2 linked regions of the Pelodiscus sinensis genome follow. The protein of the gene in region 2 interacts with the protein of the main gene of each other region in a pairwise test. Links are inferred from orthologs where the notes say so. Each region holds a gene or a part of one and is shown on either strand. Other genes may lie near its edges.

The links.
Region 1: the proteins of GRAMD1C (region 2) and CD151 interact in binary tests that used the Homo sapiens proteins (3 or more experiments, as listed by UniProt). The link is inferred for Pelodiscus sinensis from reciprocal best matches to the Homo sapiens genes GRAMD1C and CD151.

What each region holds. Positions count from the first base shown.
Region 1 is NC_134714.1:120,078,332-120,090,062, forward strand, and holds the start of CD151 (CD151 antigen), read right to left. Parts: upstream 5,528-11,731; 5' UTR 5,349-5,527; intron 1-5,348. Other genes in the region: late histone H2A.1-like, read right to left, coding at 11,454-11,731. UniProt on the Homo sapiens protein: Structural component of specialized membrane microdomains known as tetraspanin-enriched microdomains (TERMs), which act as platforms for receptor clustering and signaling.
Region 2 is NC_134711.1:147,726,147-147,738,743, forward strand, and holds the start of GRAMD1C (protein Aster-C), read right to left. Parts: upstream 5,757-12,597; 5' UTR 5,668-5,756; coding exon 5,665-5,667; intron 2,560-5,664; coding exon 2,431-2,559; intron 1-2,430. UniProt on the Homo sapiens protein: Cholesterol transporter that mediates non-vesicular transport of cholesterol from the plasma membrane (PM) to the endoplasmic reticulum (ER).

The sequences.
Region 1 (11,731 bases), on a different chromosome or scaffold from region 2:
ACCACCCCAAGGCCTCGCCTTCATTCTACCCGTACCCCCAAGGCCCTGCCTCCTGCCACTTCCTTCCACAGCTGACCCACTATTTCCCCTCCCCCACCACGGATGTTCCAGCCCCAGAGCCTATGCTGGACAGTACCAGTGGCATCAGAGGAAGATGCAAGAGTGGAATAACCTTAGCTCATGTGGGTAGTGGCTGGCGTGTGCCCTGAAGCAGAAGGCAACAGCTACATTTTATTATATGCCTCCAAGGCCCAACAGCTTTTTCAGTCACCTAAAGGGATTATTTCACCAAGGGCTGAAATGTAGCCATTTCTGGAGCAAAGCCCAGGAGCAACCTTGCACAACAGTTTACAGCAGAAAGGGAAGAATCCCATCACCTAAACCGGCAAGGGGAAGTACTGAGGACGGAGCTAGTCAAGTTGCCATGTGGCTGTGACACCTACGTGAAGACCCTGACTCTTGCATAAAGTACCACAAGGTTTTTAATAATCACAGCCTTGCTGCCATTCCTTTGCTGGGCAGTGATTCATTATGCAGCAGCCAGGACACGTGGTTAACACGACTGACTAACGTGAGGGGGTTTCGGTTATCAACGTGCTGAGATCATGAACATGCTGGTAGAGCAGGATACTGGCAGACTTTGGCACCAGGATGAAGCAGGAAATGAGAACTTACTGTCATGTATACTCTTAAGAGAGCCCTGACACTGGTAAATGGGGCTGGATATGACCTCCCTTATTGCTACATGGACTTATGACTGTATAGGCACCTCTGCTGAGGAACTTCATTCTCAGGCTGCAGTTTTCCATCCCCTTCTCTCCCTCGATCTACGTGAGTGAACCCCAGCTCTGGGCACCACGGGAGGGCATTTCCCCTAATAGAGAAGTTTGCAAGTCTCCATCCAGGATGGCCATGTACACACAGACACTAGCCTCCCAAAAGGGCATGGACAGGGGCAGAGGGAAAGCATGGCCATGCTGTAAAGTAGGAGTTGCTCCATTTATTAGGCTTGGTCAGAAATGGCCACACACATAAATCTGCAGGGAAACATTTTAACCTGCTTTGATATTCAATAACGGGTTTGAAAACAGCCTTTCCTTTGTAACCAATTTTTGTAGGAGACAGCTGAACTGGAATTCATTCGCAAATGCAACACTATCAGCTTAGGACTGAATAAGGATCTTAACTGGGTAACACATTACAAAGACAATTTCCCCTCTCTGGATATTCACATCTCCACATCAACTGCTGTGACTGATCCGCCTCCACCCTCACTTCATTAATACAAGCAACTTCTTCCTTGTATATACCCCTGCTTTCACTCCAATTCATCTGATGAAGTGGATGTTACCCATGAAAACTTATGTCCTAATAAATCTGTTACTCTCTAATGTAGGGATGTAAAATCCCGTTTAATTGGTTACCCAGTTAACCAATTAAAAGAGTGGTGGGGGCCACTTCAGCCTGCCGCTGGGCTGGAGTGGTCCCCTCTGCCTGTCAGAACTGTTCGTTTGCAGCAGGCACCAAAGGACTGGAGTAGCTCCTTGCCTGTGGCAGCTGCTCAAGCCCCCACCGGTTAATTGGTGATGTGTACGGGTTCTAGTTAAGGGTTAGGGTGATGCTTACCGGTTAAACTTTCACATCTCTACTCTAAGGTGCCATGGGACTCTTCTTTGGTTTTGCAGCTACAGATTAACACTGAGACTGTCCTAGAGCAAAAGTCATCACCACAGCTACTGTATTTGATCAGCAAGAACAGATAGGCCCAGTTCTCCCTGCACAGTCTCACGCTGCACTCTGAGTGAAAAAGACTGGTTTCATGAGACTGCAACACAACCACCCCCTGCCACCGCACAGGGCCTTTCTCTGAGTGCTTCCCCCTCTTATTTTCCATGATACTGATGTCAGAGATGTGCCCCGAGCTCAGCTCTAGAAAACAGTCATTGAGTTGTTCTCGCCGTAGCTCTAAGACTGACTTTGCAGCAGCGTTAGGCATGTTACTTCATGTGCCTCAGTTTCCTTATCCATAAAACTGAAACAATACTTCCCTAACTGGCAGGAACATCAGAAGGCTTACATGTTTGCAGAGTGCTTTGAGGATGGCAAGTGCCATACAAACGCTCAGCACAAGATGCCCACAAGATGGTTACTTTCATCCCCAAAAGCCTCCAGGGCAGGGTGCACTCAAGCCAATTTTCCTGTTAGGATGAGCTCCCTAATCAGTGCTCTGCTCCCTCTATACCAGATGCACAGAGATAAAACCACCTATTGGAGAAGCACTTATGAAACCCCTACTCACTGTCTGAGGAAACTCTCGATACCTAGGGAAAGGGACATCTTGCTGCCCACCCAGAAGCTGGCAAAGAGGGCTGGGGGATGCAACTGAACTCAGGAGAGCAGCAGTGAGAGAATGCAGAACTCAATAGAAAACGTCTCAAAACTTCTCTCAAAATTACTGCAGGGCTGCAAGACTCTTGTACCAAATCACGGGAGAGAGTGGGAAGTCTCTGGAATACTGATCTAAATAGGCACTTTTGGACTATTGCCTTTAAAGATGTAAAACACAGGAAGACATGGACTACTGGAGCCAGAACCGTAAAGCAGCCAGCTAGAGAACAGAAGCTGTTTAGCAAGCTGCCGCAAATAATGCACAACAGGTTCGGGTCAGGCAGTAAAGAGCATTGAAACCGCTGAGGGAAAATGTAGTGTAAGAGGGGCTTTATGGGTCAGAAGCTGCAGATCTCAAAAAGCAACTTATCTCTTCTGGTCACAGAGTTGTCTGTCATCACAGTTGGGCTCAGTAACATTCACTCCCAGAATAGAAACAAACAATTCCCTTTACTGCCGGAGGCACTAGGTTTGTTAATCATGTTTCTCCCAGTAGTGTCTAAAACTGCCACCCAACAATGCAGTCCCGTTGAGCTAGGCAATGTACAAACACAGATGTGACATTTGGCAGCCTGTGTTACCTAAAACACAGATTAAAGTCCAAGAAAACTTACTACCTTTGTTAGACCGAGTAACAGATCAGCCATGGAACACAAAGGTTGCACCTGTTTCTCCCTGAACTCCACTCTTCCTAGTGTATGACAAGAGGCAGGATCACAACAGCAGCATTACGGAAGCCCAAAGTAGGGATGTTAAAGGTTAACTGGTTACCTGGTAAGCATTAGGTTTACCGGAATGCTCATTGCATAACCAGTTTCACAATGAACCACAGCAGGCTGGAGCAGCCCTGGCTTAATCCAGCCTACTATGAGGGGAGGGTAGGCAGAGATGCGTCTACATCAGCTGTGGGGAGCCTGCCGGCATGGAGGTGGCTGTCAGTACCCCAGCTGCTCCGACTCAGCATAGCATCCCGGCCCCAGGAGCATCCTGACCCTGGCTGCATCCCAGTGGGACTCTGGTGTTCCAGCCACGTCCCAGTGATGTCCTGGCCTCAGCCACACAGAGCAGGCAGGTGATTTTCTGGCCCTGGCCAGCTCCAATTCTTACCAGTCTTGGCAGGCCTCAGGACCACTCCCCCCACCCCAGCCGTATCAGAGCAACGGACAGGCGGAGAAACCAGTTAAATGTTAAAATTTTAGCCATTTAGCCAGTTAACTATTTAAATTCTTTTTTACATCCCTAGGCCCAAAGGCAAACTAAGTGCTTGGGGTTGTAAAAACCCCTCTGGGACAGGTATGGTCTTCCTATCTTCACAGCAAACTAATACCCAGAAGCTGAGGTTTTAACTCAGAAGCGGCTTTTCCGAGCCTCTTCAGAACAACCATTTTTAGTGATGGGGGAAGACCTTTCTGTTCCATCTTCATGTTGAGTTAACCAACGGAGAGAACCTTTGGCCTGCATGTTAACGAGACTGTCACGCTAGAAGCCTCCATCAGAACCTAAACCATTGTAAACCCATCATGGACTGCAAAAACCACCCAGGGATCCCAAATGGCTGGCTTGTAGGAAATAACTTTTCAGCAAAATGGCTGCCACCTCGGAAACCTTTATCCAAACCCTTGATCCATAGGAAAGGCTAGCACTTTGTGAAACCCCAGGGCAAGAAAGCAGATGGGGTGAGGAGGAGAAGATAAGATAAGTGACAAGGTTTTTAATGGGGCATCCAGAGGATTTCTCTGTTAAATATGCTCCTCACTACCAACAAGCTGTTGCAAAGGGGTGGATTCATTCTCAAGGGTTTCTTTGATCACGACACCCTAATGGCGATCTAGCCTTTCCACTCGATGCCATGAAGCAAAGGCTGCTGGCGAATGCTCTGCATGTGGTGCTACAGTCACACAGCTCCAATCACTTTCAAACTGGGAGGCAGGGAAAACGGAGACGCAAAACAGCAACACATGGAGAACAACACTTGAGTGGATTTCCTAGTAAATGTGCTCTCTGGCCTGCCTCTCTCTCTCCCACCTTCCAAAGATTTCACCAATTAATATTTAACCCAAAAGGCCAAAACTTATTTATACAGAAGGGTAGCCTTGAACAAAGCAGATGGGGGGGGGGAGGAGAAGCTTTACTCAACAAAGTTAAGAGACTATCCAGAATCCTGTGCTATAAACAGCCTCTGCAGATTTCCTAGCATCAGAGGAAGTCATGTTACATAGTCCTGTTATAAGAAAGTGCAACAAACTTAATTGCAGAACCAGGACTCCCAGTGGGGAGGAGCAATGACTTGTGAACACAGCGCTCCAGCGGATCCCAGACAGCATATACCCTCTTGGACAAGCCCCTGAGTCGCTTTAAGCCTCAGACTGTACTAGATACACTGAAGGGGGAGAGTATTCTCACGGGCCATCTCGGCCGCATGGAAATTCGTGGCCTTCAAGCGGAGGCCAGGGCACTGCCCCAGGGAGCTGGGATTTGTTCCGCTCTTGGGGAGGGGGACACTCTCCTGTCACTGGCTGCTCCTTCCCAAAGTGCTGGAGGAGGGGGGGGGGGGGGGGGTGTAAAACGTTGTTTTTGCGCCGCCCCCCAGCTTGGGACCGTCCCGGTTTCAGGTGCAAATGGAAACCGCCCTGCAAGCAGGGAGCCCAGACACTTTGCGAGGCGAGGACTCTGCGGGAAGAGTTGAGCCGCCCTATGTAAACAAGGCGCATCTGGGGCGGCAAGGAAGCAGGCAGGGGAAGGCGCTGCTCTCCCCCCACCCCCGCTAGCCTAGGGGCCGCGCCCGGGAGCGTCCAGTCCCCAGCACCACCCGGCCGCCGGACGAGCAGGCTGCAGGCAGAGCGCTGCCTTTGTTCTCCCTGCTGCTGTTTCAGGTGCGCCGCGCTCCCCCTCCCCGCGTCCTGCTGTGACCATTGGGCGCTGCTGCCGGGCGGGCAGAGCCCCCGAGCGCCTCCCTTTACCTTCTCCCGGCGCGCCGAGCCCCACGCGACGGTAGCAGGCGAGCGAGTCCGCCCCTCCTGCGGCAGTGGAAACAGGCAGCGAGCCCTGCGCTCTGCAGCCGCGGCTACAGACCCCTCCCAGTGCCCGCTCCCGCAGCTGCTGCGCCACACGGTTTGAACCAGCGCGAAGCCGCCTCGCCGCTCACCCGGAGACGCCTAGCGGGCAAAGGGGCGCCCTGAGTAAACCGGAGAATTGGTCCAATAAACGCTATAACCTCCCCCGCCTGGGCCGCCTACAACACTGCCCGCAGCCCCGTGGCTCCCCAGACCGACAGCCCCACACCCTGGTTCTGTTTGGATTGGTTGAAACTGAGTCGGTTTGATTTTTTACTCAAGGAGAAAAGCCAAGGCCAGCTGGGCTCTGGAAGTTATGAGCCACTTAGAAAGCTCAAGAAAAATCAGGTGTACAATGAAATATTTGTTTTGGATTGTGTTGCGTACAGATGCATGTAGGTACTTACCTCCCCACACTTTCCTGCCACATTCCTCAGTGGCGCCTTTGGGCTCAGACTTAACTTTCCAAACATCTGGGGGAGAGGGAGAGATTGAAGGGGGCAGGACAAGATAAAGAGGGGGAACATTTAGGCCAGTGGCTTTCAAACTTCTGTCTCATGAACCAGTTGAAGAAAATTGTCAGTGCCCATCAGGGCTGGCTCGAGCCCTTTTGGCGCCCTTGGCCCAGGAGTGCGGCGCTGCCCCATGGCGCACGGCGCACGCGCGGGCCCACCTGTGTGGCACAGGCCTGCCCCCCTAGGGTGCGCAGGCCTGCCCCCGGACGCACGGCGCATGCGCATGCCCGCTACGGCTGCTGGCGCACAGCCCGGGGCCTGCCCCCAGGCCGCACGAGCTGCCCAGCCCGGCCCTGCCTTGCGCGTGCGCTGGGCCGTGCAGGGACCTGCAGCCATGGGGGGAAGGGTGCTACGGGAGCCAGGCGCGCGCAACACCTGATGGCAGCTGTAAGGGATGCCATGTGCCCCTTACAGCTGCCATCAGGCACCCGTCATCGGTTGGCGCCCCGGGCAGCTGCCCAGCTCACCCATGCCTCCGTCGGGCCCTGGTGCCCATCACCCACCACAATTACTTCTTTTGACTAGAGTGCAGGCTCTAGGGCAGGGCTGAAGGATGCAGGAGGGGGCTCTGGACTTGGACAAGGGCTTAATTCTGGTGGATTCCATGCAGCGGTCATGCTAAGGCAGGTTTCCTGCCTGTCCTGGCATGATGGTATGCACTGTGCCCTGGAAGTGGCCAGCAGCAGGTCCAGCTCCTAGGTGGAGGTGTGCAAGGGGCTCTATGCCCTGCTCCCCATCCCCACTTGATTTCTTTGACTCCTGTGCCCAAACTGTTCCTGGCCGCAACGTGGTCCTCAGTGCTGGGAGAGGCAGGAAGCCTGCCTTAGTCTACCTCCTCTGGTTACCTTACAGCAAAATGACCCAGGGCTTGGTATTCCACCACCCAGTATGACCCATAGTTTGAAAACCACTGATTTAGGCTGAGATTTTTAACACAAACTGCCATCAATGGGCATCACCCTATTCAGCATTTCAGAAGAGTTTCTGAACCCTGATAAAAACCCATATGCTCCTATGTGCAGGAGCTTAAAAAGTCATGAGCCTGAGGACCCTAAAATTGATGGGTATTTTTTGTGGTTTTAAAAGACAACTGTGTTTATCTGTTCACTAACCTCCTTCCCACCACCACTTGGATGAGACAAGAACAGAGCTGCCAAGTCTCCCAAAGATTACAGAGAAATAATTTTTACAATGCTAGTTACCTCTATCTTCCACAGTAGCTGTGCTTCTCCAAGGGATTGTCACTCCCCACACATTTTTGGGTCAGGAGGTCCTGCTGTAATTACCCCCTTCTCAGGCTAATGGCCAACAACTTCCTGTATGTTATTGTGCTATTTGATGTTTTTCTTAAAGCCCCAACTCCTGGAATCATAGGATTCCATGAGACTCTCACCTTTCATTTAGAAATAAATAGAGGTAATCTTCTAGCTTTCTTGGTTACTCAGAAAACCTTGAAGAGTTAATGCAAGTGTGCCCTAAAGGCTAAACACCAGAAGACCAAGCAAGCAAAATACAATTTCATGATTTTTAAGAGGCATGCCTGGTTTTGGGGGGAGCTAAAGAATGATTTTGGAATGCTTGAGCGGGGGTGTCATACACACAAGTTACAGCACCATCCCCCTTTGCATCACATGGCAAAATAGTGCCCAGCCAGAGGTTGTGCCCTTCTAGAGGCTCCAGCAGGAAATATACTTTTTTGTTTGAGACACATTCACTAATGAGATTTCTACATGGCAGACTAGAAGCCATGTCAGACTGGTAGGTTGCCTCATCCCTCCATTATTTTCCCATACGGGTTAGCCTAAATATCTCAGAATTAGGATATGCCTCTATATAAGGAACTGGAACAAAGGAAAACTCTTGTCCAACTCAGGAAGCAATAGTAAATGACAAGGAATCCTGTGGCACCTCATAGACTAACAGATTTCTTGGAGTATAAGCTTTCGTGGGATATGACCCACTTAGATGCATGTAGTGGAATCTTTGTGGGTCTTATCCCACAAAAGCTTATGCTCCAATAAATCTGTTAGTCTATGAGGTGCCACAGGACTCCTCGTCACTTTTGCAGATTCAGACTAACACCACTACCCCGCTGAAATTAGTAAATGAGAGGACTAGATGTGCCACACTTTCAAGGCTCATATTCTTTTGTTTGTAGAGGAGTGTGGGGGGAGGGGAAGGGGGATTTCTTTGCAGCTATATCTATGGGGCAGCCCCCTCATACATAAATATTCACCTCAATCAAAACAGAGGCACCCTCTTCCCAGTAAAGAGGAGAATAAGTTCATATTACAGTTGACCTGAGGTTATGAGAAAGGGGCTATAAAATGGAAGAAAGAGGTGATGACGAGGAAGGAAGAGGCAGATTTTAAGTATGTGTGGCAGGTGTTAGAGAGAAAACTGCTCTTAGAGTGTGTTGGGGAAGGGGAGCTGAAGCAGAGCACCTTGTCCTCTTCCTGGCTTCAGGGAGCCAGCTTCCACACCCACCCACCCCTTTTCCTGAATCAGGGAGAGTCCCCTTCCTGTTCAGCCTATTGGAATCAGTGTGTATGGGGCAAGAGGAAAAGAACCTCTCTCTGCTTGATCTGTACTCTGTTGGAAGGAGAGCAAGGGATGGGGCAAGAGTATAGAGACGGCAAAGTGCACTCTGGGAGGGTGTTTGAGTGTAGAGCCGGAGCAGAAGTGACCATGAAATGGAGAAGGGGAGTGTGCATGGGTGGTGGGTGAAGGTAAAGGCTCAGGGAGGCAAGCCCTCCCCTGCCCCCACACTCCCACCCCTTCTGCCCAGGCCCTCCCCCCTCAGTATCAGAGGAAGATGAGGCTCCACACAGACAGAGGCTCCTGGAGCACAGGGAGAGAAGAGGACATGCAGCCCCAGTAGGCAGAGTGTGGGTGGGGCCAGGCTGGTGGTTAGGGAAGGCAGTGCCTTCCTCCACCTAACATACCTGCCACCCATGAAAGAGTGGCTATCCTCGGCCCAGCTGGAAAAAGAGGAGCATGTTGATGTTTCAGTGCCTGGGTAGGGTCAGATCTCCTCCTGTTTGGGGACAACAATGGGTACAGCAGACTGAACAGGTAGTAGCAATACACCTGCACATACTTGGGACAAGCTCCAGTGAGGAGTCAACCTACAGCCTCACACCAGACTCCTAAGGCAGTGGCCAGATGGTTCATTTTACAACATTTGCCTCATTCTGGGTCAATTGAGGCATTCCTCTCCCCTAGGTTTGGGGGAGCCTTGCTCAGGGCTCATTTCTGGCACTAGCAGATGGGGAAAGACCACCCACTCTTCTCACATGAAGGCATTTCCGTCCTCTGCGTGCCTTGCGGCAGGAGGGGCCCTCTCCCCACCCTTCTGCTGTAGCATTGTGGAAATAACTATTTTCAGCAAGAGCGTCCCTTTCTCCAGACCCTATTATTGGTTGTATTATGTAGCATCTGAAGGCTCCATTGACATTAGGGCCCTGTTGTATAATGCACTCATCCAAGAATAATCCCCATTCATAGGGGAAGAACTAAGGTGGAGATTAAAGTCCAGAGCCTTGAGGGAGGGAGGAGCCTACACACCGTTGAGGATTGGGCCTAAATGACTTGTTCAAGATAACAGTGAAGTCTGTGTCAGAGTTAGGACTGAAGCCAGATCTCCTGTTGCTAAGGCACTACTAGACCAGATCAAAGGGATCATTTTTCCTCTCAATCATATAGGTTGCCAGGTGTCTGGTTTTCTACCAAACAGTCCAGTATTTGCACCCTCTGTCTGGTAGAAAAATTCAGAAGATACCAGACATGTGCAATGTCCAGTATTTTCTGAATTTCTGGCAGAGCGCCAGAGGGAAGCATGGTGGGAGCAGGGGAGTGACTGGGAGGCGGGGCCATGATTGGCACTGGGAGCCCTGTGGTTGCATGCAAAAGGCAGGCACTCCCCCTGCCCAGCTTCTGCATGCTACCAGAGGCTCCCAGTGCCAGTCGCGGCCCCACCTCCCAGCTGGGAGCCTCTGGTTGTGAACTGTCGGGTTGGAGGAAGGTTACTAGTGGAGTTCCTCAGCGATCAGTTTTGGGGCCAATTTTATTTAATCTTTTTATTACTGATCTTGGCACCACAAGTGGAAGTGTCCTAATAAAATTTGCAGATGACACAAAGGTGGGAGCTATTGCCAATTCAGAAAAGTATCGGGATATCATACAGGAAGATCTGGATGATCTTGTAAATTGGAGTGATAGCAGTAGGATGAAATTTAATAGTGAGAAGTGTAAGGTTATGCATTTAGGGATTAACAACAAGAATTTTAGTTATAAGCTGGGGACACATCAGTTGGAAGTAACGGAGGAGGAGAAGGACCTCGGAGTCCTGGTTGACTATAGAAGGACTATGAGCCGCCATTGTGACATGGCTGTGAAAAAGGCTAATATAGCCTTGGGATGTATTAGGCGAGGTATTTCCAGTAGGGATAAGGAGGTGTTAGTGCCATTATACAAGGCATTGGTGAGACCCCATTTGGAATACTGTGTGCAGTTCTGGTCTCCATGTTAAAGAAGGATGAATTCAAACTTGAACAGGTACAAAGAAGGGCCACTAGGATGATCCGAGGAATGGAAAACCTGTCTTATAAAAGGAGACTCAAGGAGCTTGGCTTGTTTACCTTAACCAAAAGAAGGCTGAAGGGGGACATGATTGCACTTTAATATATTAGAGGGATTATTTAAGCTTAATACCAATGTGGACACAAGAACAAATGGATATAAGCTGGCTAGTAGGAAGTTTAGACTTGAGATTAGATGAAGGTTTCTAACCATTAGAGTGAAGTTCTGGAATGGCCTTCCAAGGGAAGAAGTGGGGGCAAAAGATCTATCTGGCTTCAAGATTAAACTAGATGGGTTTATGAAGGGGATGGTTTGATGAGAACATGATCTTGGTAACTAATTGACCATTCATTATCAGTGGGAATAGGTCAATGGAGGGATGATAGGAGTTACTATAGAGAACTTTCTGGGTGTCTGGCTGATGAGTCTTGCCCACATGCTCAGGGTTTAGCTGATTGGCAATCTACCCTGGAGGAAAATTCCTTCCTGACCCCAAATATGGCAGAGGCCCTGGAGGTTTTTCACCTTCCTCTGTAGCATGGGGTACAGATCACAGCTAGAGGATTCTCTGCATCTTGGGGGGGTCTTCAAAGTATTTGAAGGCTTCAATATCTGAGATATAGGTGAGAGGATTATTCTGGGAGGGGTGGGTGAGATTCTGTGGCCTGCACTGTGTAGTGGGTCAGACTAGATGATCATAATGGTCCCTTCTGACCTTAAAGTCTGAGTCTAAAACAAAATCATAAGAGCCAGGTAGTCCAATAAATCTGTATTTCATACAAAGCACGTACAAACCACCAGTGTGAATAAATACCCTTTAGCAGCAATACACAAACCAAATGAAGCCTCGAGCACAGAAATCCAGTCTTTGAGAGCCAGGTCCCACTTCTCCTTACAAGGCTCAGCAGGAAGGGAACTAGCAGGGGGCTGCTCTCTTTCCACGCGCAGGCTTCTTGTTGGTTTTTTGGGTCAGAAGCAGCTTCTCAATCCGGGGCAGGACACCTCCTTGCGGAATAGTCACATGGTTGACCAGCTTGTTCAGTTCATCATCACTCTTAATGCCCAGCAGGATGTGCCTTGGCACGATGCGGTGGGATCTCTTTGCCTGAGTCACGTACCCGGCTGCCTCCAGCACTTCGGCAGTCAGGTACTCTAGCACGGAGGCCAAATAGACGGCAGCACTGGGGCTTATTC
Region 2 (12,597 bases):
AGCTGTGGGCTAACAGAGGGACCCCAGGCCACAAAGCCTCCAGAACCAAAGGGCTGCGGGCTCCATGGGGGCAGGGCCAGCAAGTGATGGTATCCTGAGGGCCAGCAGGTGACAATAAAGCCAGTGGGGCTGGTGAGATCCTATGGGAGAGACTGGGACCTGAAGCTAGGCCCCAGGTTGCAGGGAAACTGGGTGCAAAACCTGGGGGTGCTGTAGCATCCCCCGCACCTCTACTTTCTGTGCCTGTAAGTATAGCAAGCCATTTTCTACAAAGGAGGTATGTAAAATTCATCTTTTTTGGCCAAGTATAAAAGTATCATAAGATCATGCTACATTCTCATAGGGTATGCCTAGACTACATGCCTCTGCCGACAGAGACATGTAAAATAGGCTACCCGACATAGTCAATGAAGCAGGGATTTAAATATCTTCAGCTTCGAACAAAAATGGCCGCCACGCTGTGCCAGCTCAGCTGATCATCAGCACAGCGTGCGAGTCAAGATGCGGATCGGTCGATAGCGGAAGCCTTTGTCGACTGCTCCCTTATGCCTCGTGAAACAGGTTTACAGGAGCGGTCAACAAAGGCTTCCCCTGTCAACCGATCCGTGTCTTGACTCACACACTGTGCCGACAATCAGCTGTGCTGGCACAGCGCGGCGGCCATTTTTATTTTAATGAAGCCGGGGTATTTAAATCCCCCCTTCATTGACTATGTCGGGTAGCCTATTTTACATGCCTCTGCCGACAGATGCATGTAGTCTAGACATACCCTCAGTGACTGAAATTCGGTCTTTACTGGAGAAAAAGTGGCAGCAATCCATTTTTATGAGCAGAAAACAGAGAGAAGGTACAGCTTACCCAATCAGGGAACTGGGAATCAGGACTCTTGGGTTCTATATCCAGACCTACCACTGACTAGATACTAGCATAGGCATAGCACCTCCTTATATCTCCATTTACCCTACAGCGAAGCAGTAACAAGTTACTTACCTCACAGAACAGGCTGGGAAGCTTTTAATTAAAGGCTACAAAGAAATTTGCATAAAAAGCACTAATAGTACATATTTATAAATAAGGCCTCCATTTTGAACAGTGAGCATTGTCACGGTACTGTCCCGACCCCAGTGCTTAATGAAAATTGGCTCATGAATATGAATATTGGTATAACTCAAAGACACCTTAGACAAAATACCTCATACAACATATCAATGTTGATGTTACAATCTGCTGAATGTGTACATTGTATTTTTGTGCGTGTGTCATTCTTGTATGTGAACTTAGAACTATAAAGTGTGGCTCCTATTTATCTTTTTAAATATGCTAAGGAGAGCCATTATGGATGCTTCAGACAATTAATGGCTCAGTGATCAAATCAACAACCTGTGAATAGTCTTGTTTGTCCTGTAAGCTCAAACTGTGGTTGGTCGTAGAAAGACATGTGGCCAGGCCACATGAGCTGAAACCCATTTTGGATCTGGTGCCTTTCCACGCAAGGTGAGAAAAGTTTGAACTGAGCACAAAGAGTTCCCACCTTGGGCAAAATGTATATAAAGGAGGGTGGGAGGAAACAACAAAGAATAGAGGCAATTGCTAGATGTCATGAGATTCCCTCTCCCCCTTCTTACCACATAAGATGCCTGCTGGAAACATCTAAGACTGAACAGGGGAAGAATCGAGCCTAAGTTAGTAGGCTGCTTAGACAGTGAATGAGATGTTTGGAACAACTGTTCAGGGTAAGAATTTGCATGTAACAAGTTTCTTAGTGGATTAGAACTAGCTAAAAGTGTTTTATATTCATTTTGATTTAGTAACTTACTATAATCTGTCTCTTTTCACTTTCAACTACTTAAATCCTACTCTTTGTACTTAATAAAAATGCTTTTATTTATTATCAAGCCCAATGTAAATAACTGTTACCTGGAAAGGGGGGAGAGGAAGAACAACCACTGTGCATATTTCTCTTTCATTCACACAGTAAGATGGATTTGTTTGGGGCCTAGGTTCCATTTGAGGATGGTTTCCTGTGTGCTGAGCCCTCCCAGAGCTGAATGGGTTCAGCATCTGTGTTGCTCTGCAGAAGGGTGGTAACCCCAACTCTGTGACTTGGCTAGGGGGAGCCTAAGAGGGCAGGAAGGTGGGCACCAGTAGCATGATCAGCACACCGGGGGACAACTCCAAGGGGACTTCTGTGATCTAACCCATCACAATGGTAATTAACTCATTGGAATAATTTATTAAGAATCTTGGTGGATTCTCCATCAATGACCATTTTAAAATCAAGACTGGATGTTTTTCCTAAAAGATCTGCTTTTCATTTGGGGCAATTCTATGGCCTGTGTTAGACAGGAGGGCAGACTAGATGTTCAAAACAGTCCCTCTGGGCCTTGGAATCTGTAACAATGAATTTAAGAGAAAAAACAACCGAGTTACCCAAAAGCTCCAGTCAGCACTCCAGTTATATGGAGCAGGGGCCTGCATTTTCTCGGTACAGGCACCAAGAGTCTCCTCTGAATCTGCAAACAACTGGCGGATGAGACCATGATCCACTTCATGGATTTCCTGTGAACCGAGCAAGCAAGCAAAGCATGTTATTTTGTAATGGAGGGGAAAGTTGTTGGAATAAAAGGTGGTTAATCAATTTGCAGGATTCATAATAAAACCTTACATGGCTACATTTAACAGGGGAAATTATGAGAAACACCTCCCACTTACTGATTCTTAACTAATGAATAACAATTTCTCAGTGTCAATTATGTGATAAGCATTAAGGTTTTATTTCCAAATGTCCCTCAACCTGAACATCAGTGTTCTGCAAACAGTCAAAAGACAGTTGTTATCTTAACCACCATGAAAGCCATAAACTCAAACCAAATTATTAAAAACTAAACTACAAAGGAATCCTTAATCAAAAAAAAAAAAAAAAAAAAAAAAAAAGAGGGAGAAGTTCTGGTTTTCTGATCCAATTATAATTACTCACTGTCTTAGGGATGTAAAATCCCATTTCATTAGTTAACAGGTTAAACATTATGATTAACTGATTAAACAGAAGTGGATGGGGGCCCACACCGTGGACAGGGGCTGCTCCCAGCATGCCAGTGCTGGACTAAAACCCCCCCATGGAGGGTCCCACAGAGTTAGAAGGGCACCCTGCTTGTAGCAGGCGAGAGGCTGCTCCAATCCTCTCCAGTTACCATAACTGGTAAGCATCACCTGGCAAGGATGATACTTACTGGTTCACATCCCTACTGTCCATACACATCTACCTAAACACAGCACTTCAGAAATGCCAAATTATATTATTACTAATACTCTTATGTAGAATTTTTCATCAGTAGATCTCACATATTTTACAAAGGCAATCAATAGCATTAGCACTATTCACAGATGGGGAAAACTGAGACAGAGAGGCAAAGTGACTTTCCCAACAGATCAGTGGCAAAGCCAGGTATAAAACTCAGTTCTCCCTAGTCCCAGTCTAGGCCCCTAATCACTTAACCACATTGCTTGTAATAGCCAATAATGCCCTGTAAAAACATTACCTCAGGCATGGCCAAACGTACTGACTCTCCAAACTGAATGTGACAGTCTTCAGAAGTTTGAGAACCAGGACATCCAGGGTCATGGCTCAGGGCTTCAGCCTTGCTCCAAAGGTGTGGCAGGATTGCTCTACAGGGCTGAAGCCCCAAATTCACCTCCCCACTGCAGAAGCTAGAGGCAACGTGTGTGGGCGATGTGTATGTGTTTCTGCAGTTTCCCCCTTATCAAGTAGTCAATGGAAATTCCATCAACTACTAGATTAGCTGATCAAACCCAATTTAACATCATTAGGAAGGTCTATGGGCAGAACTTTAACTATCAGAGAGCCACATGCAGCCGTATTTTGGCCACTCCTGCACTATCCCATTTTTGACAAATGGGGTCACCGTGATTAAGGAATCTCGATCTGCTCATCAGCTCCCTGTCCGGGGGGAGGGAAAACTCACTGCTCCACACCTTACCGCCTCTCTGCTGGGGGTTCATACGGATTAGCATGGCACCAGTCACCGGAGCACTCCTTACTCTTTGACTGCTGTGAGGGGAAGCACTCATGTTCAGGGCTCTTGAGCTCAAGCAGAGAAGGCAAAGTGACAATTGCAGGAGCGCTCCTGTTCCAATGAGACTGAACAGGGGGAACACTCGGCAACCAGGGCAGCTGCTGTGTGCCCTCCAATAATAAGGACACCTGGGTCACAGAGCAGTAGATGCCAGCTTCCATCGTGGGAGAGAGAAAGCTGAGATGCTCTCACCTCCCTGATGAGATGTAATGAGAGGCTCGAGGCGGGTGAGAAGTGTTTTCTCAAAATGTCCCACATGTGCACCCCTTAATTTTAAACAGCCAGGGATCATCACTGCTATTGTCTACGCATCACCCCCAAAAACTTGGTAGTGTAATTGGAGGAGCCTGTATTTTCTTATCAATTAAGGGGTTGTTGCAGCAATCTTAATTCAGCTCCTTTGTGTGTATTCATTACCGTGGAGTCTGTCAAAGGACAGCTTGCAAGACTGCTAGCTTAAAAAAAATCCAATGTTGGAGAGGCAGGAAGAAAGGCCAAGAGACAGATCAACACGAAGAAGCTGTGGTTTAGAATTTGGCCCAGATCATTAGTGGCCAAAACTGGTTACCATCTGATATATGGTTGGTGGCTATAAGAAAGGAGCAGACAGGTTGTCAGGCAGTTTCTAGTAGGCAGGAAGAAAAAACTTAACATTGGCAGACTCCACAAAGCCAGGAGAGCCATCTACCAAAACAGTCCCTGCAGAACAGAGACCCATAATGGGGATGCAGGCATCACCACTGCCCGTGCTGCATGCTGTGGAGATAAAATATTACAGCTTCCAAGACTTCCTTCCTTCTGATGCCTTTCACCAGCACAGCTAAACTCTCATTAAAAAAAATACTTAAAATCCACATTTTATAGACACCTGCAAAAGGAATGTGGAATATTCCTTTTGGATTCCTGCTCCATTGCCTGTCCTAGATTTGTACAAATGCTACCCTCAGTGACACAGCAGCATAAGCAAAGATGCAGCATAAAACCACCAGGATCTAGGGACCCCTTAACAGAACAGGGCTGTGGGAGCACAGCTCTAGCTTGCAAGGCAAAGTCAAGTTTTGAATGTTGCTGCCAAAGGGCGGGAGAGGAACAGGCAGCCCATTCCCCTGAAGACACTGACTGTATATGTAAGATGAAGCACAGAAAGCAAGTTGACTTGCTACTCTTCCCTCACCCAAAATCCAGGAGCAGTAAGGGAACAAGCAAAGGAGTCCTCCCAGCAGAACCTTGAGTGAAGATAGACAACCCTAGCTGAACAACCCTCACCGATAGCAGAGATGAGGGGGTGCAAGCGACACTACTTCTCTAGTCACAGTATGGCCTAGCTTGTTGCTTTAACAGCTGTTATTGGATAGCTAGCTTGCAAGGGAACAATAGTCTAGCAGCTGGCAGTACAGGACTTCTGATGACACAAACAAACTAGTTAAGCATAAGGTCTCACATACACACTGTGAGGAGACCATTAAACCTCTCTCTGTAAAGCCAAGTGGCTTAACAGCCACCCCTGAAAGGAGCAAGCCCTTAGCAAAACTAGAAAGCAAAAATTAAGAAAGAAGAACCAAATGCTTACCATAGAGAGAAGAGGGAGATGCAACCTGCAAGCTGATTGCCTCTAAAATGAGCACCATAGGGCTGCAGCTGCTGCCTTCTCTGTAATTTAAAGGGCCAGCAACAATCAGAAGACTGGAGAAAGGCTTCTACATACAAAGGGAGTAAACCTGACACTCAGAGTTAGCTGATATCTAACTGCTATGGAGAACAAGCTGGCTAATGAAAAGGAATACGAAGCTAGCCAGCTGAATGAAGGTCAGGGCCTGGTTTAGAGCTCCATTTACAGCTACTTGCTACTGCCTTCGTTAGCATGTTTAATTTTGTATGCAGAGCCATCCAAAGTTTTGTTCACTGTCTGAAAAATAACTCACATCTCACCTACAGATTCTTGTATCCTATGAGTGTGAGTATGAGCCCCTCCCTTTGGTTCCTGGCCCAAAGGAAGATGTTGGTTGCCTTCCTCACACTTTTCCCATCTAACCCCACAAAGCCTACTTTGCAGAGAGAGGGATCTGCAGCTGGAAGAAAGTCTGCCAAGACTAGTCAAAGGAATGTCGTGAGAGGAGACCATGAGAGATGCACATAGTTTCCTCACTATCCCAAAGAGAAGCAAGATGAGCACTAATGCAGCATGAGGATGCCTTAAATCTTCTGGGATGGTTTTTGTACTGGTGGAAAGCCCCCTCCCTTTTAAAGGTGTGTCCCTTGGACAGTGACAGCCTGTTTCCAAAGGGACATTGGGGTAACCTAGAGCTGGCGCAGAGTAACAAAGCTTCTAGCAGAGAAGGACCTGCTCTCCTGGGAATCTGGAAGGGACCCTATAACTACAGCCTCTACCTCCAGAAGAACAACCCAAGGAAAACTCCATGAGGGGATCCTGACTGGATTGTCCACTTCCCAGCCACATAAATATTTTCATGGGAAGAATGAATTCTGGGCTATAATTCTACTGCTACACCTTCAAACATGATTTCTATTTTCTTCCACTATCAACTCTGCAATTAAATTTAAACCCAGATCATATAAAATCCATACAAATAATCCTCAACTCCAACTTCTGTAGTGTTTGAGAACTAGATGTTTTTAATTTTCGTGTTGATTCAGTGGTATGTAATGAACTCATCCCTAGCAGTTTAAAAAGGACCTGGGGACCTGTTCTTCTGAATGAAAAATCCTGTATAAATATGGGTGATTTTAGGTGTTTTATGTTGTGTAGTCCATCCGTCTGATATTACATGAATGGACTACTGTAGTTTAAAATGTTTTAATGCTACTTCACAGAGCCACCTAGAGGGGAAAGAGAGAAAACCTGCCTTCAGGGAGAAAAAAATGTGATGTAACAATGTTTAAAAAGTAATGTAGCACCAGCATGTTGACAGGAGGAAAAAAAAACTTAATAGAACCAGAAACATTTTCAGTTCATTAAAAAAATCTGTGAAAACAAAACTGGATTTTAATGTCACCGTTGAATGTTGGAAACAGAACTTTACCAGTACAGGGAACAAGAAGGTGAAATAATTGTAGTACATGGAGATGAGTGTAATTAAAAGAACAATCATGACTGGGTTAAATGGGTTTTAGATTCAAGCTCATACAAGCTTATACACATGCTGAAGGTGTGTTCTCTGAGGGAGCAATCCTCATGAGATATCTTATTCTGTAAATGTTTTGATAAATCATGTATGCTTTACAGCTTTTGGTTATGTCTACAACAGATTTCCCTTGCACCCTATGCTCTACCAGATTAATGCATCTTCTTCCCCTGGTCTCTTTCTCTTACTCTCTGTCCTTTCTCACACTGCCCCTTATTTGTGGAATATTCTTCATGCTCCGGTGCACTTTGGGGGGAGGGGTAGTTTCACCTGAGCTCTGACTAATGGGGCCAAATGTTCAGACATTCCCAGCACCCAGCCGCTCACAAAGTGATGCTTATGGTTAGATTTTCAAAAGAGCTCAATAGGTTTCGTACACCAAATGGGCTGCTGAGCTCACTAGTAAAGCTGGCCCCACGCAAGCACATTCTTCTTTAAATATCACCTCGAGCCATGAGCTCATTGGTTGAGTAATGTTGGTCCGGGAATAATTTCGTTACCACTCCTGCCTGATTTTATACCCTCAAGCTGTAAATATATTCATAACATAGCCAAAATAAATAAAATAGTGAAGCAACCAACAAGACTTGTACAAAGCATTTCTCATACTGGTTGGTGTATTTTAACCCCCAGTCTTCTCATGTTCCCCAGCCTTTGTCTGTCATCTATTACTGTGATCTCATTTAGGGCCCAACACTGCTCCCACAGAAAGCAAATGGAGTTTTGGAATTGTGCTGCCTCAAGCCGTGATCATGTCCACTTTTGGGAAGCAGCATGGGCTAGTGGAAAGAGCACTGGAGTGGGCTGCAGGCCACAACCCACTTCTTCAGATGTGCCCACAAAAGCTCACGATACCATCTATGACTGTCTACACTGGCGCGATCTTGCACCAGAAATATGCAAACGAGGCTAAGCATGGAATATTGCCGAGCCTCATTTGAATATCTCATGAGCCACCATTTTTGCAGAAGAGGCTCTTGCGCAAGAAGGAGCGTGGTACACTGCCCCTTCTTGCGCAAGAAAAACCCTCTTGCGCAATGCCGTTATTCCTGAAAATAATCAGTGTAATGGCATTGCGCAAGAGGGTTTTTCTTGCGCAAAAAGGGGCAGTATACACACTCCTTCTTGCACAAGAGCCTCTTCCGCAAAATGGCGGCTCATTACATATGCAAATGAGGCTCGGCGATATTCCACGCTTAGCCTCATTTGCATATTTCTGGAGCAAGATTGCGCCAGTGTAGACAAAACCTTGATGTTTTGTTAGTCTTCAAGGTGCTACTAGACTATTTGTTGTTTTTTAAGTTTTTCCTGTTACAGACTAACTCGGCTACCCCTCTGAAGCACTATATGTTTGTTATTTTGCTACAAACTTCAATAGGAGCAGGATGGACTTGTTTAAATGTCTTTAAAATGTCATGTATCTCTATCATACTTGGTGTGTGTCTAGTAAAAATAGAGACTCTCTCAAGTAGATCATTTGGCAATTGATGTATATGTACTTTACCTATGAAAGTAAAGAAACACACAAACACACTTCTCTCTCTCTTTTATGCCTGAAGACATCCCCTAGAATCAGGTGGCTATTAATTTTCATTATTGTCTTTATGTATAGTGTGTATTGCAGTAGCATTTAGGAGCACCATTGTGCTAGGTGCTGGACAAAACATAGTTAATTGTTTGTCTCATTTATTATTAAAAGTTATAATATATGTAAAAGAATTAAAAAAGAAAATCCAGCCTTTTCTCACTGTCTGAGCTGAGTAAAATAAACAAAGAACATGAACAGCAGATGAAAAGTAGGTCAGATTTTTAGTACTTTCATTTCCAGCTGAATGTGTGTGTTAGTATTAACCCATATTCTTAATATAGGTGTGTCTAGTCAGTATTTTTATCAATAAAGGCCAAAATTTACCATAATTGTATATACTCAGGCTATGTCTACACTATAGGGTTTTTCTGGGATATTGGACCTATCCTGGAAAAACTCCACTGCGTCCAGGGAATAATGCGTCTGCTCTTCCGCTTTTTTTTTTTTTTTTTGCAGAAGAACAGACGTGCTCTTTTGGAAGTCATGTCTTCCTCCCCCACAAGAAAGAAGGGCTCTTCCAAAAGAGGAGGCTTTTCCAAAAATTTGAAGGGCTATTCCGAAAGAGGAGGCTTTTCCAGTGTAGATGGGCCAAATTTCAGAAAAACCTCTTCCAAAAAAACTGTTGGAAAAAGATATGAAAATTCGGAGTGCAATTTGTGTATCTTTTTCCAATAGATCGGTGTAGTCTACACATAGCCTCAGTTTTGGGGACCTTTCTGGAGACAATTTCAACTGATTTCTATTGGAGTGCAATGAATGCCCAGCACCTCTGAAAATCAGTCCAGGGGAGTTTCAAGTTGGATGCCCACAAAGAGAGGGACACAGCATTAGTGGGCACATTTGAAAATACATGCCTACAAACTTGTGCTTTCAGATCCCTACATTATAAACACAAAGGGCATGTCTACACAGCTGCTTTATTTCAGAATAACTCAGGTTATTTCCAAATAACACAGTGCGCGGTTATACAGCAAGCCTGTTATTTTGAAATAATTTCGAAATAACAGGCTTCCTACTCCAACTCCTGTAACCCTCATTTCATGAGGAGTAAGGGAAGTGAAAGGAAGTGTTCTTCCTTCAACTTCCTGCAGCGTAGACAGCTCCAAAAGCCAAGTTAAGTTACTTCGACTTCAGCTACACAATTAAAGTAGCTGAAGTTGCGAATCTTAATTCGACTTTGTCCCCTAGTGTAGACATACCCAAATTGAGCAGTGTGACAAGGAAGAAAATTTCCACCTGAGGGTGTGACTACACTGCACCATAACTCGAAATAAGATATGCAATTTGAGCTACACAAATTGTGTATCTGATTTTGATGTTATTTTGAAATAGCTTATTTCGCCATTTGGCTCTGTACATCCCTTACTTCTTGTAGAATGAGGTTTACAGAGCCATCGGAATAGTGAGCCTGAAATAACAGGCTTTCTGTGAAGGTGTGGGATAGCTATTTCAGGATACTCCGGTATCTCAAAATAGTATTGCAGTGTAAACGTAGACTCAGTGACTAGTGGATCAGTGAGGACAAGCTGCAGGGGGGTCAGGGATTCCTTAAATTGTGTGGGGAGGAAAACAATATATCAAGCATCTAGTTATTTGCGGTGGGATGGTCCTGCTGATGGAGTAGACTGGGGAGGCATGGGATACAATCATAGGGTGAGGCCAGTGTGTAGTTATGGGTGGTATGGCATGTAAGGGGTCAGGGCGACTGGGATTTGATAGGGTGGTGAATAGCAGGTGCTGTGGGTCTTCTCCTCCACAACTCCTTTGCCCTGAGGTCCCCAATCCCCATCCTGGCCTAAGGGAGGCAACAACCATGCAGCAATGTTACCTAGTGGGGGGCTCAAAGGAGACTTGGCAGGTTCCATTCCCTCCAGCTTCAATCTTGGCCCCAAAGGTCTCTCTTGCCAGAACACAAGTTTCCCACCTGTGATGCCATCTCTCCGCAGGGCTGCTCCTATCGGCTCCCCACAAACAGCTGGTGCACTCACATGGCTCCCTCTAGCAGCCTTAGTAACCACTCTGGGTTCCGTCCTCCGCCATGCTTGGCAGCCATTTTGTTTCCTTGGCTATTTGTGTAGACCAGCAGTGTCAAAAGGGTTACACTTGTACTTACCTCGCTTTAACTGACCCACACGGCACAGCCTGCACCCCCATCTTCAGCCTCTCAATACAGCCTCTTTCCCCTGCCCTCCTCCACGAGCCTCCTCTGCCAACATAACTCAACCTTTTCTACTCCCTCCCCTTGGGGTCCTCCCCCACATCCCCTCTTCCAGCAGAGCCCTGCTCATCCAAACTCATTTTTTTCTCCTCAAACTTGGCAGCACTGCCTGTCCTGGGACAGCGAAGCCTCCATGTGCTCCAGCCAGAGAAATCTACTTCTCTTTCTGCTTTCCAGGGAGGCTATTTGAGGCCTTTGCTGTGGAAAGCATATGGGCCATAAACGGCAGTGCTCTGGCAGTCATCCAGTGACACATTGCTCAACACGATAACAATCTCTGTGAGTTGCGTCTCCATCCAGCTGCTGGAGCAAACAAGTCAATGCCAGTATGGCTAATATGAAGCATTCAAAAATCATGGGATTGATTTAAAAATATAATCTGCCTTCTTTTGATTTGCCTTCTGGGCTTTGAACTGCTAGCTTTGATGTTTTCAAGCTTTTCTTCCCAACCAATCAGGCTGCAATTTTTTTTTAAGTGAAAGCTGAGCGCTCTCATAATCACATGACTCCAGGAGCTGTGCCTTTAAGAAACACACCAAATATCACAAGATCTTCACCAGACTATAAGAGCACATTCCCAGTTATTTAAAGGAGGAACAGCCAAAATCTTCCGTTCACCGTGGGCATAGGAAAGAGAGCCAGTAGGCGTCAAGAAATCTGAAGGCAGGTCACCAATCCAGAGCTCAGGGAAGAGATGCCAGGCAGGCAGCTGGTGTGGTGTGTCCACCATGCAGCTGTAATACTGTCAGCAGGATGACTGGGTACTGAGTGAGCTGTTGCAGCATGTGAAGCTGGCTGCTGAAATTCTTCCTGTAAAATAGTGTTGGACCTGTTCCTATGTGCGAGCCCGGCTTTACTTTCCACAAACAACAAAATAGTACCTTTGTCAATTCTGCAGACAGGTCTGCTATTTTCAGCCCCCTTTCCCATCCCTCAGGGATATAACCCATAACCAAGCTTCTGTTAACATGGGTTGGCATTAACCAACATTTGGTTAATCAGGATTTCTACTACCCTCAAAAAAATACTTGTGGGGGGGAGGGGAGATATTTTCATCCCACACATAGCACATATGGCCAGATTTTCAGAAGCACTGACTATCCACAACTCCCAATGGAATCGATAGGAACTAAGGCCCAGCCACTGAGAAAATCCAGCCTATGGTTCTTTTTCACTTCCATATGGGGCTTCATAGAAAGGGACCCTTCTGTTGAATAGCCAGTCATCAGCTCCAGGTTCTGGTGCTGCTATATACAAGTCCAAAGCAATAAAGGGTGCATCTACACAGCAGGGCTTAACTCAAAATAAGCTACGCAAATTGAGCTACGTAACTTGTGTCGCTTATTTCAAAATAGCTTATTTCGAAATTGGGAGCATCTACACAGCACTTATTTCAAAATAGAGCACTCTTCCTCTGACTTCCCTTACTCTTCATGCAATGAGGGTTACAGGAGTCAGAGTAAGAAGTTCTCCAGCTTGACAGTATTTCGACCTTATTTCAAAATAACTGCCTTCTGTGTAGGCACGGACTAAGTTATTTAGAAATGCACGTTG